Macaca mulatta: one gene and its partners. The protein of the gene in region 2 interacts with the protein of the main gene of each other region in a pairwise test. Links are inferred from orthologs where the notes say so. Each region holds a gene or a part of one and is shown on either strand. Other genes may lie near its edges.

Evidence for each region.
Region 1: the proteins of FOXR1 (region 2) and PPCDC interact in binary tests that used the Homo sapiens proteins (3 or more experiments, as listed by UniProt). The two-hybrid records come from large-scale screens. The link is inferred for Macaca mulatta from reciprocal best matches to the Homo sapiens genes FOXR1 and PPCDC.
Region 3: the proteins of FOXR1 (region 2) and BANP interact in binary tests that used the Homo sapiens proteins (3 or more experiments, as listed by UniProt). The two-hybrid records come from large-scale screens. The link is inferred for Macaca mulatta from reciprocal best matches to the Homo sapiens genes FOXR1 and BANP.

Annotation. Positions count from the first base shown.
Region 1 is NC_133412.1:52,997,832-53,001,477, reverse strand, and holds part of PPCDC (phosphopantothenoylcysteine decarboxylase), read right to left. Parts: exon of another isoform or gene 3,394-3,646; intron 2,802-3,393; exon of another isoform or gene 2,638-2,801; coding exon 2,542-2,637; exon of another isoform or gene 1,740-2,541; intron 1,706-1,739; coding exon 1,577-1,705; intron 1-1,576. UniProt on the Homo sapiens protein: Catalyzes the decarboxylation of the cysteine moiety of 4-phosphopantothenoylcysteine to form 4'-phosphopantotheine and this reaction forms part of the biosynthesis of coenzyme A.
Region 2 is NC_133419.1:119,666,572-119,670,217, reverse strand, and holds part of FOXR1 (forkhead box protein R1), read right to left. Parts: intron 1,554-3,646; coding exon 1,479-1,553; intron 1,376-1,478; coding exon 1,128-1,375; intron 891-1,127; coding exon 664-890; intron 1-663. UniProt on the Homo sapiens protein: Transcription factor which acts as both an activator and a repressor.
Region 3 is NC_133425.1:83,425,250-83,428,895, reverse strand, and holds part of BANP (protein BANP), read right to left. Parts: intron 2,959-3,646; coding exon 2,887-2,958; coding exon of another isoform or gene 2,847-2,886; intron 303-2,846; coding exon 264-302; exon of another isoform or gene 1-263. UniProt on the Homo sapiens protein: Controls V(D)J recombination during T-cell development by repressing T-cell receptor (TCR) beta enhancer function. Binds to scaffold/matrix attachment region beta (S/MARbeta), an ATC-rich DNA sequence located upstream of the TCR beta enhancer.

The DNA of each region.
Region 1 (3,646 bases), on a different chromosome or scaffold from region 2:
CCTGAGTAGCTGGGGACCACAGGCATGCACCACCACACCTGGCTAATTTTTTTGTATTTTTTGTAGAGATGGAGTCTCACCATGTTGCTCAGGCTGGTCTCAAACTCCTGGGCTCAATAGATTTTCCTGCCTCAGCCTCCCAAAGTGCTGGGATTACAGGCATGAGCCACCATCCCCGGCCCTTTCTTTTTTTTTTTCAATAGAGACAGGGTCTCGCTATGTTGCCCAGGGTGGACCACACTGGCTATTCTGGCTATTCACAGTCACAATCAAGGGGCACTGCAGCCTAGAACTCCTGGGCTTAAGCGATCCTCCCACCTCAGCCTCCCAAGTAGCTGGGACTATAGGGAAAGTCTTCCTGATGACATTACTCCCAGGCTCTCTTCTCTGCACTCCCTTCCCCTGTTCCTGGCCACACAAGTTGTTCTTCTGCTCACTCTGTGCTCTTATTCAAATGATGCTTAAATCACTGGCAGATTCTTTGAGGAGTGCCTTTAGAGCCCATTGACAAGTATACAAGAACACTAATCTGTGACCCCAAAAAACATCCTGTCCCAGCTTCATTATCCACCTTCTTCACCACATGAAACTCTGAAAAACTCCCAGCTACTTGCAAAAGTAAAACTGCTAGCTACCCCATACATGCAGTATTTACTGGATGTCTACCACAGGCCCAGCACTATGCAAGGTGGTGACTCCATAGTCAAAGGACTGACTGGGGTCATTCAGGACTGTAGTCCTCACCAGAGGATACTCCCTTCCCACTGCCATGGGTGATCAAGCGTGGCATTCTCCTTCCAGCCTGGGAGCTCCGTGTCCTGTGAGGCTCTCAGCATAGATCCCAGTACGTGGTAGGCGAAAGCTCAATAAATGAGGTGAGGGGTGGCAATAAGGGAGAGGGAGGAGAGAAATCACACCCAAATCTTCCCAGAACGATTATATAAACAAAGGCAGCTCCCCTTTACGGGCAACAGCTCCCTGGAGGCATCTTAGGCCTAGGACAGCGCCCACTTTGGACAGCTGGACTTCCATTTCTCCCTACCACCCATCGGCTCTCGCCACTGCCCCTATCTTTCTCCCCTCTTCCCCTCTAAGCTTCCCGTAATATATAGGAACACTACAAGGGCAATAAAGTGTATGAGACATCTATGAAGAAGTGAATCCCCAATCACATTGCCCACGTGTATACCCTGATCTGGGGAGAAGGCAGAAGCAGGAGGTGATGGGGCTGGGCAGAAACAGTGGAAGAGCACATCCAGGCAGCCCACAGAGAGGGACAAAGAACAAGGAACGAGGGTCTGCTTGTGGGCACCTGGCTGGATGCCAAGGGCAGGGGAGAAGGGGACACTCCTGGGGAGCAGCAGTAGGTCAAGCTGACCCATCAGGACCAGGGCTGTGCCCACGTGCTGGAGAGAAGGTGAGATGACTAGGGGGCGATGGGGGGAATGGGAGAGCATGATCTCCCTGAGTAGACTGGGGCCCCACAGCAGCAGGTCTCCTTGTACAAGGATGTCTGCAGCTCAGCAAACTGGGAGTGAAGCCCAGGGAGGGACAAGGGCACCAGGGCATCACTCACAAGCAAGTTGTCACAGATGCCACTGGCCACCTTCCCCAGCGTGTTGGCATCAAGAGGAGCCACCAGCAGGAGGTCTGCCCACCTCCGCAGGTCAATGTGCAGAACTGGGTCAGAGCGGCTCTTCCACATCTGGCAGAGGGAAGAAAAAGGGGTCAGTGTGGAGGAAGTGGGATGCAGCGCCAAGGCAGGCGAGGAGACTGAGAAGCCCACTGACCTGCCCTGCCCAGGCCAACCTCCGTTCCCTCCTGCAGCTAAGCTGGCGAGCACTAGCCATGGAGCCAGCAGCCGAGAGAACCAGGCCAGAGGAAACAAGCGCCCCTTGTCTCTCTGAGCTACTCCCTTCACGGTTTGGCTTTCAAGAGAACTGACATCTGGCAGGGAGCTCCCGGCCTGTCTGCTTGAGGCGGATGCTTGGGTTGTCCAAGCCAGTGGAAGGCTCTGGGGCAGTGAGAAATGGAGGGGGTGGGGGCAGGGAAGACAGACCAGCCGGAAATGTTCTAGGCTGAGAATGTTTGGAAATGCCTGGCAGGGAACCCCTGTGAGGCCCACACTCAGTGTCTGGTGAATCAGCCAGTGCCCACCCATCCGCAGGGGAGATGCAGCAGAGCCCAGTGGCCGTGGGAAGTGAGGCGTTCTCTTTAGCCCTGACGCCAGGAGCCACGTGGACAAGGGTGGTGGGAACAGAGCTCCTCTGTGGTTTCATCAGCCCAGATAAGTACAAGGACACTCAACCTCAGGCACCAGGCCAAAGCCCAGCTCCGCCTGGGCTGGGAGGAGACTAGGGCCTCCTGCAGGCCAGAAGCTAGACAGATGTTTTCTTCATTGCCTCTGCCCAGAGGGCCCTGACCGTGGATTTGAGCCCAGCCTGTCTGTTCCAGCTGCCAGACCATAGGCTGCAGGGAGGACTGCTCTGTCCTGCTGGTGGAAAGTCAACGGGACTCAGCCCAGGAGCCCCCAGCACTGACCTCCCATTCATCAGCATCGCTGTAGAGGGTGACAGGAATGTCCTGGGGGCTGTAGAAATGTTTGGCTCTCTCAGTTGTGACCACTGCTACTTCCAGCTGTCACCAAGAAAAAGGGGGTGGTGGGGAGGGAGGAAGAAACTGTTACCAGAGTCACAGGCCTGGAGGTCACAGGAGGGTCAGGGCAGGCAAGTGCTGTCTTCACAGGCTGGCTTTAGAGAAGACTTCCCTCCTTAGCTGCAAGCCCCATGTCTGCTTAGCTACTTCTGCTGTCACCCAAAGGTCAGGCCCTACCAGGTGTGGCTGTTTCACTTCCCTATCTGAGGGGCTGCTGAGGAATGAGTCACCAACTGCCCATATATACAAAGCTGCAAGCTCCTGCCACTCGGGCAGAGGGAGGCCCAGGGGCAGAGGCACGCAAGTGACAGGAAAGGAAGTCAAGGCCAGGGCTGCAGAGGCCACAGCAGGCAGGAGGGGCCACCCAAGGAGGCTCATAGGTCCTGAGTTCTGTGCCACACAGCAGCCCTGCCCTCTGCAGGCCAAGGCACTGGGGGCTGAGGCACAGCATGTCCTCTGTGCATGCACGCCCCCAAGAGAAGGCAGACAGTGTCCCTTCACGTACTTCTAGGAACATGGGCACAGGCTGCAGACAGGCTCCTGGAAAACCCAGCTTGTGTGTGCCCTACACTCATGGGGTGAGAATGAGGTTTACCCGCACACTACCCATTCACTAAGAAATTACTAATGCAAACCAGGGCTGCCTGCAATCTGCTTAACAGAACACATGGCTGTGAGAAACAGCACCCAGGAGTGTGAAGGGCACTAGATGGGTTGGTCATCATTTGTAAAACAAGAATTTTTTTTTTTTTTTTTTTTTTGAGATGGAGTCTCATTCTGTCGCCCAGGCTGGAGTGCAGTGGCATGATCTCGGCTCACCACAATCTCCGCCCCCAGGTTCAAGAGATTCTCCTGCCTCAGCCTCCCAAGTAGCTGGGATTACAGGTGCACACCACCACATCCAGCTAATTTTTGCGTTTTTAGTAGAGACGAGGTTTTTCACCATGTTGGCCAGGCTGGTCTCAAACTCCTGACCTCAGGTGATCCACCC
Region 2 (3,646 bases):
TGGACCACAGCATGAACAAAGCAGAATCAGGCCAAGCATCTCCCATAAGAGGAATCTTGATCGAGGACGGAAACCACTTGAAAATGCCTATTCTGAGACATTAGGCACTTTTCCTAACACTGGGAAAGGGCCCAACAAACTCCCTCGCACTCATGTGAGCAGAACTTTCTGAGCTAAATGGAAAACCCTTCTCAACTGGGTTCCCTGCACCCCTGGGGGTGCAGGGAGCTGTGCCAGGCAGTCCAGTCCTAGCAGAAGCAGGTGGGAACTGTTGGGGAACCTGACTTTAGACTGGCTCATCTTCAGAGGATGGTGGAAAACTGTTACCTGACCCAAGTGAATTTATGTTTTAAAGGAGAACTATACCCAAAGAGCACTGAAAACTAGTTAAAAAGAAAAAAAAAAAAAGAAAAAGAAAAAAAGAACTAAAGTCATAAAAAGGTTGGAGGGTTCTTTAGATGTGAAAAGGGCTGGGAATGGATATGTTCCTGTACACATGTGGGCACAAATGTGCCTGGGAAAAGGGAACTGGGAACATACTCGTCCTCTCAGACCCAGATAGGGAAACCAGGTCAGCAACCCAGGGCCTGGGATGGATTGGAAGGCATCAGCCCAGGGCCCTGGCCCCCACTTCCCCCTCCTCACAGGGCCCCCGGCACATACCGAGTGAAACTGTAGATCTGTTGCACGTTGAGGCCACAGGGGGGACTGTTTCTTAATGCCAGGGCAATTAGGTGGAAGTAATTGAGAGGGGGCCGGGACCAGAGCCTCCCCGCCTGGCTGCTGGCTTGCCGAAGCCTCCGACTCTGGAGGGGGGCCCTTTTGTGAGGGGATGGGAGAGCCACAGAGGAGCTGTCTTCCTGGTCCTCAGCCTCCTCCTCTTCTGTGAGCTAGAGGAGCACAGAGTAGGAACTGGTCCTGACTCCTCAGCCTCTACTCCAGGGTGCAGTGGCAGGAAGGGGGGGTGGTCTAAGGCCACCATCTGGGCTTCTCCCCAACCCAAGCATGAAGGTAATTTCTGAACCCATTCGCCTTTTGCTATGGCTAAGAGAGCAGAATTGTGATGGCTCTTCCCCATGCCCCTCACCTACTGCCCAAGTCCGGCTCCCACCCCCAGAGATCCATACCTCCCAGGTGCTGGGGGAAAAGGCAAAGCGCTTCCGAGGGGGAGACCACTTGCTGGAGGACCGGGACAGTGATTCCACCCCTGTGGCTTCTGAGCAGCTGGCATCTTCCTCCTTCTGTGGTGGCTGAGACAAGGGAAGTGTGCTTGTCAGATCCTCCCTCTTCCTAGGTCCTGGGACCTCCAGTTTTCCAGGGGGATACACGATGTTGGGGTTTACCCACATCCAGAGGTTGGGTTCATAATCTGGACCTGTGCAGAACAAAAGGAGATTGTGTGCTGCAGCCCACTGGCTTTGGGTGCCCCTGGTCTCCAGCCCAGGTCACAGAAACAGGTCAGAGAACTCAATACTTACCATCCTTATCAGGGTTGGGTTTTTTCTCTAGGGGTAATTTTGGTGGCTTAACAATTCGGAGTTTATACCTGGCAACTGGCAAAAAGAAAGAGAGAGTCAAAACATCCTAGGATATCCCTTTGTGACCCTAGGATCCTAGGCATTAAGGCTTCTCTGGGAGAAGGTATTGTGGGCCCTGCCTGGGGAGTTAACATCACATTGTACTTCTACTGGTTTTCCCTTTACCTCTCTGACCTTCTCATTCCCCTCTGCATTCTTTTCTTCTCACTCTACATATACTGTCCCTGAATTGATCTCCTGCATGCCCGTGGCTTCAGTTAACATCTATAAAAAAAATGTAGAGCTCTCAAATCTTCACCTCTAGCCTAGCATTCTGTGCTAGCCCTTAAGGAGAACTACTTACTGGATATCTTTACTTGGGTAGCCCACAGGCACTTCAGACGGCTTCTAAAACTGAATTCCATCTTGTTGCTCTTCCTCCTGTATTCTTGTTTTTTTCTGAGACAGGGTCTTGCTGTGTTGCACAGGCTGGAGTGCAGTGGTGTGCTCAAGAGATCCTCCCACCTCAGCCTCCCAAGTAGCTGGAACTACAGGTGCATGCCACTACGCCCCATTAATTTTTGCAATTTTTTTTTTTTCCAGATGGAGTCTTGCTCTGTCACCCAGGCTGGAGTGTAGTGGCGTGATCTTGGCTCACTGCAACCTCCGCCTCCCGGATTCGAGTGATTCTCCTGCCTCAGCCTCCCGAGTAGCTGAGATTACAGGTGCCTGCCACCACGCCCGGGTAATTTTTGTATTTTTAGTAGAGCTTTCACCATATTGGCCACGCTGGTGTCTAACTCCTGACCTCATGATCCACCAGCCTCAGCCTCTCAAAGTGCTGGGATTACAGGTATGAGCCACCGCGCCCGGCCTAATTTTTGTATTTTTTGTATAGATGAGGGTCTCACTATGTTGTTGCCTGGGCTGGTCTTGAACCCCTGGGCTCAAGCAATCCTCCTGTTCAGGCTCCCAAAATGGGATTACAGGCGTGAACCACCATGCCTAGCCTTCCTGTATTCTTTGTCTCAGCAAGTGGCACCACCATTAACTGATTGTTCAGGACAAAAACTATTTTTGCCCCCTCACTGTCACTATGAGTGTCATTATATTACAGATGAATCTAGGCTTTTGTTTGGGAAATGACATACTTATCGGAGAGCTTAATTAGAGAGGATGCCTATTAGGTTGCTAATATTCAACATAGTACTCAAAAAAGGAAAAAGTAGCAAAAGATATAAACATAGGGTTTTTTTTTTTTTTTTTTTTTTGAGACGCGGTCTTGCTTGGTTGCCCATGCTGGAGTGCAGTGGTGTGACATTGGCTCACTGCAATCTCCACCTCCCAGCTCAAGCAATCCTCCCATCTCAGCTCTGAAATAAATAACTTTTTTTTTTTTTTTTTTTTTTTGAGACGGAGTCTTGCTCTGTAGCCCGGGCTGGAGTGCAGTGGCCGGATCTCAGCTCACTGCAAGCTCCGCCTCCCGGGTTTGCGCCATTCTCCTGCCTCAGCCTCCGGAGTAGCTGGGACTACAGGCGCCCGCCACCTCGCCTGGCTAGTTTTTTGTATTTTTAGTAGAGACGGGGTTTCACCGTGTTAGCCAGGATGGTCTTGATCTCCTGACCTCGTGATCCGCCCGTCTCGGCCTCCCAAAGTGCTGGGATTACAGGCTTGAGCCACCGCGCCCGGCCCTTTTTTTTTTTTTTTTGAGGCGGAGTCTCGCTCTGTAGCCCGGGCTGGAGTGCAGTGGCCGGATCTCAGCTCACTGCAAGCTCCGCCTCCCAGGTTTACGCCATTCTCCTGCCTCAGCCTCCCGAGTAGCTGGGACTACAGGCGCCCGCCACCTCGCCCGGCTAGTTTTTTGTATTTTTTAGTAGAGACGGGGTTTCACGGTGTTCGCCAGGATGGTCTCGATCTCCTGACCTCGTGATCCACCCGTCTCGGCCTCCCAAAGTGCTGGGATTACAGGCTTGAGCCACCGCGCCCGGCCTGAAATAAATAACTTAAAAGACTTGAACAAAGACTTATAATACATACTATTAAGATGCCAGTTACCCTAAAATGAATCTATAAGTTTTATGCACATATTATAGTACAAAAATTAAAGTTTGGCCAGGTGCGGTGGCTGA
Region 3 (3,646 bases), on a different chromosome or scaffold from region 2:
GTGTGTGTGGAGACCAGGGCACACACCTGACCGTCCCACCCCATCCTGTGAGAGCCCCACCCCTCCGCAGCGCAATGCCTGTGTATATGTATAAGGACTGGGGTAGCTCACCTGACCGTCCCACCCCCTCCCATGAGAGCCCCATCCCTTGGCAGCGCAATGCCCACATGTACATGGGGACCACGGCACTCACCTGACCGTCCCACCCCCTCCTGTGAGAGCCCAACCCCTCAGCAGTGCAACTCCCGCACTGGGACACTCACCTGACCATCCTGCCCCACGTGATGGATCTGGAGGTTGCCCTGCAAAGAATGAGAGGAGGAGACGGTCATGAGCAGAAACACGCCAAGACACCCGTAGACTCGGCAAACACGCCAACACACATCACGGGCCATTTGAGAATAACAAGAAAAACACTGGTTCTAAAAATTCAACCTCTAGTAGCAACAAAAGCTCCAAAATAAAATATTTATATTTTTAGGTACTATTTATTATCTTAAAGGTGAACAAACAACTCAAAAAGCACTGTACCCATTCCCCCACCCTGACCCCAAATGAAAATGTCATTTTGGCTTCATTTTTTATTTTGAAAGAATTTGACTCACAAAAAGTACAGAAAGTAGCAGAGAGAGGTCCTATGTGTGTGCCGCCCAGCTGCCCCCAGTGAGGACGCTTTGCTGAGCTGTGCGGCATCACCATGCCAGGACATGGGCCGCACACGAGGAACCAGCTCACTCAACCACGGAGCTACCAAGAGCTCTCCAGCTAGAAACTCGCTTTCATTTGTTGTAAAAAGGAACTGTTTTAAGACTGTTAGACCCTGCTAAACGTTTATTTGCAGATATCCTGTTTTAACAAAATAATTTCAAATGAACACGGTATGAATTTACGGTGGAGACTGCATACTGTCACTTATCACAAAGCCATCGTTAGCATTATCAGCAATTTCTAACTTACTGCATTCAAATCTTAATGAAAACAAAAGATCACCTATACAAGATGGATTCAGTTTTGAAAACTGAAAAGAGGAAAAACTAGTAATAAAAAATTGCATTCGAGTAGTCAAGATTTTTTAGCATAAACTATAAAAAGCAAATGTGTGTTTTTTCTTTTGCTGCTGTTTCAATTTTCCTTCATTTCCAATGACTCTAAGGAAATTAAGCATTCCGACGCACTGCATGGACTTCCAGGTATTCAAGAACTCTGGCTGAGCTCTCTGACAGTGACCTCAGCCTCCAGCCCCCACTTGTCTGTGCCTTGAGAAGCAAACCTTCCCCTGCCCTTCAAAGGCAGCTCCTGCACTGGAAGGTGCTGCTGGGATCCTGCACCTCGCAGCCGCTCAGGCCCCCGACTCCTGCACCTGACCGCACTGAGCCGACTAGTGCCATCTCCCGGCATCTCCACAGAGATGGTCCCTGACCCACCCACAGACACAGAACCAGGCCCTGCTCCTTCCTGGACACTCTGGCCTCCCGGGACCGTCCCCCACCTGCCCCCCACCCCGGTGCTTCCTTCCATCCATCCATCTGACCACATGTTTCTTAGTGACCTGGTCATCTTGCTGTGTGGATGAGCCCACTCATTCCCAGTCGCTTACGGCCCCCACAAGAATTCGTTCCTCCCCTTTCACCTCATCCTGATTCCACCCTCGGAATGCTTATGCATGTGCTCCTCTCTCAGGATAACCCACTGGGAACTGCTGGTGTCCAAATTAAAGCCACCGCCAGCAGACACATCTGAGTCCCTGGGGCTCCTCCTGCCACGGCATGCATGTGTCCACAGTCTTGCTCATGGGCACTTGGGCAGGAGCCTCTGCGCCCACCGTGAATCTCCGAAGGCAGAGCTTCTCTCTCCTCCGCTCCCCAACAGCACCTGCACCCAGCACGAGCTCCCGGGAGGCCTCGCATGCTAACATCTCCATGAGTCCCCTCGACCTCAGCATCCGAGCTTCCTAGACTCTGCTGCTGGTGTGTGTGGAGAAACCTGAGATCTTTGTAACGACACACTGTCGTGCACCAAACACAACGCTGGTGCTATTGTCACGACCTAGAAACAGCCATGTTCCTCATCCCCCAGAGCGCACCACGGTCACTCAGTACAACACGTGTGTGCTGCTTAGTGCCCTGCGCCTGCTGCTGCCCGTGCTGTAGGAAACAGCCCAGAGTCGAAGGACAGTCACCAGCCACCCAGGAGACAGTCCTGCTGTGGCACGCAAACACGGAGCACCGCAACCGGCCAGCCTCGGCTTTCCAAGAACTCAGACTGTCACTCCTGCCTTCACATTCCAGACCCCAACAGCAGCTGAGCCCACACTTCTGAGTGCATGGCCAGGCAGAGCTCCAGAAATGGAGACAGCGGAGATAATCACAGACCTGGCAGGTGCGCCAAGGGCTATTCCCAGCTCTCAGGACTGGCAGCATCACCTCATGGGATTCCCCACCGTCCCATGAAATCGGCACTAATCCCACAGAGGCCACGAGGAAGCTGGGGCCACATGGCAGGTGAGGGGCTATGTCAGGTCACCTGTGCAGGGGTAGACCACACCTTAGCCACACTGGGGGCCTCCCCTGGCAGGAAGGACAGGGCCGGACAGGGAGAGAAGGGTACTCAGAGGGCACTTCCAGCCAGGAACAGAAACGTCAACCCAGGAGATCTTTACCAAGACAGACCAGAAGCTGTGGAGACCAACAGACAGGAGGGGAGGCAGTGAGGCCACAGAGACTGCAGGCCCGCCACGTGCACCCTGGAAGCAGAGTCCTGAAGCCCTTGCCCACGTTCCCCGTCCTCTGGGGCTCCCGGCTGCCCTCGCACTGTGACACCGATGAAGGTCGAGAGCACGCGGGCACCGTGCCTGCAGGGACAGTGCTGCAGCAAGAGGTGACTCACCTCGCTGTCCTGCGTGATCTGGACTTGCTCCCCCTGCGGCACCTGGGCGATGTGGAGGTGTCCCTGTGGGATCCGCAGCAAGAGAAGACACCAAGAAGCATCAGAAGAAAATCAAAAGCAAAGGAAACAAGAAACGTCTTCCGGAATGTTTGTTCTTATCTGCTTATAATTCAAAAAGATAACTGAATCCTGGATAGTGCAATACAGTCTGTGGTCACCTCTTTAAATTAAGCTTTTGGTTCACAGCAGTCCCCCTCATCCATGAGGGTTTTGTTTCAAGAAGCACCCCTCCCCCCACTATGTGGACACCAGAAACCGTGGATGGTGCTGAACCCCGTATATGCTATGCTTTCTCCTGCCCATACGTGCCACACAGCTTGGACATGCTGGACAAAGGAAGGACTCAGTCCTGGATGGGACAGAGCAGGACGACCAGATTTCATCATACTACTACCCAGAAGAATATGCAATCTGAAACTTACAAATTGTTTATTTCTGGAATTTCTCATCTAATATTTTCAGATCACAGTTGACCATGGGTAATTAAAACCTGGGAAAGTGGAGGCATGGGTAAGGGGGGGCTACTGTGTAATATACACAAAACATCTTCCAGTACTTCACAAAGGAGCAATAGGTCCCAGGAAAGATATTTACATCTTTACATGTTACTAAACAAGTAAATTTTAAAATGTGCCTGACACATAGAAAAGAGGGGAAACAGAAAATCAGAATGACACCTCTTTCCAAATGATACGTTCAG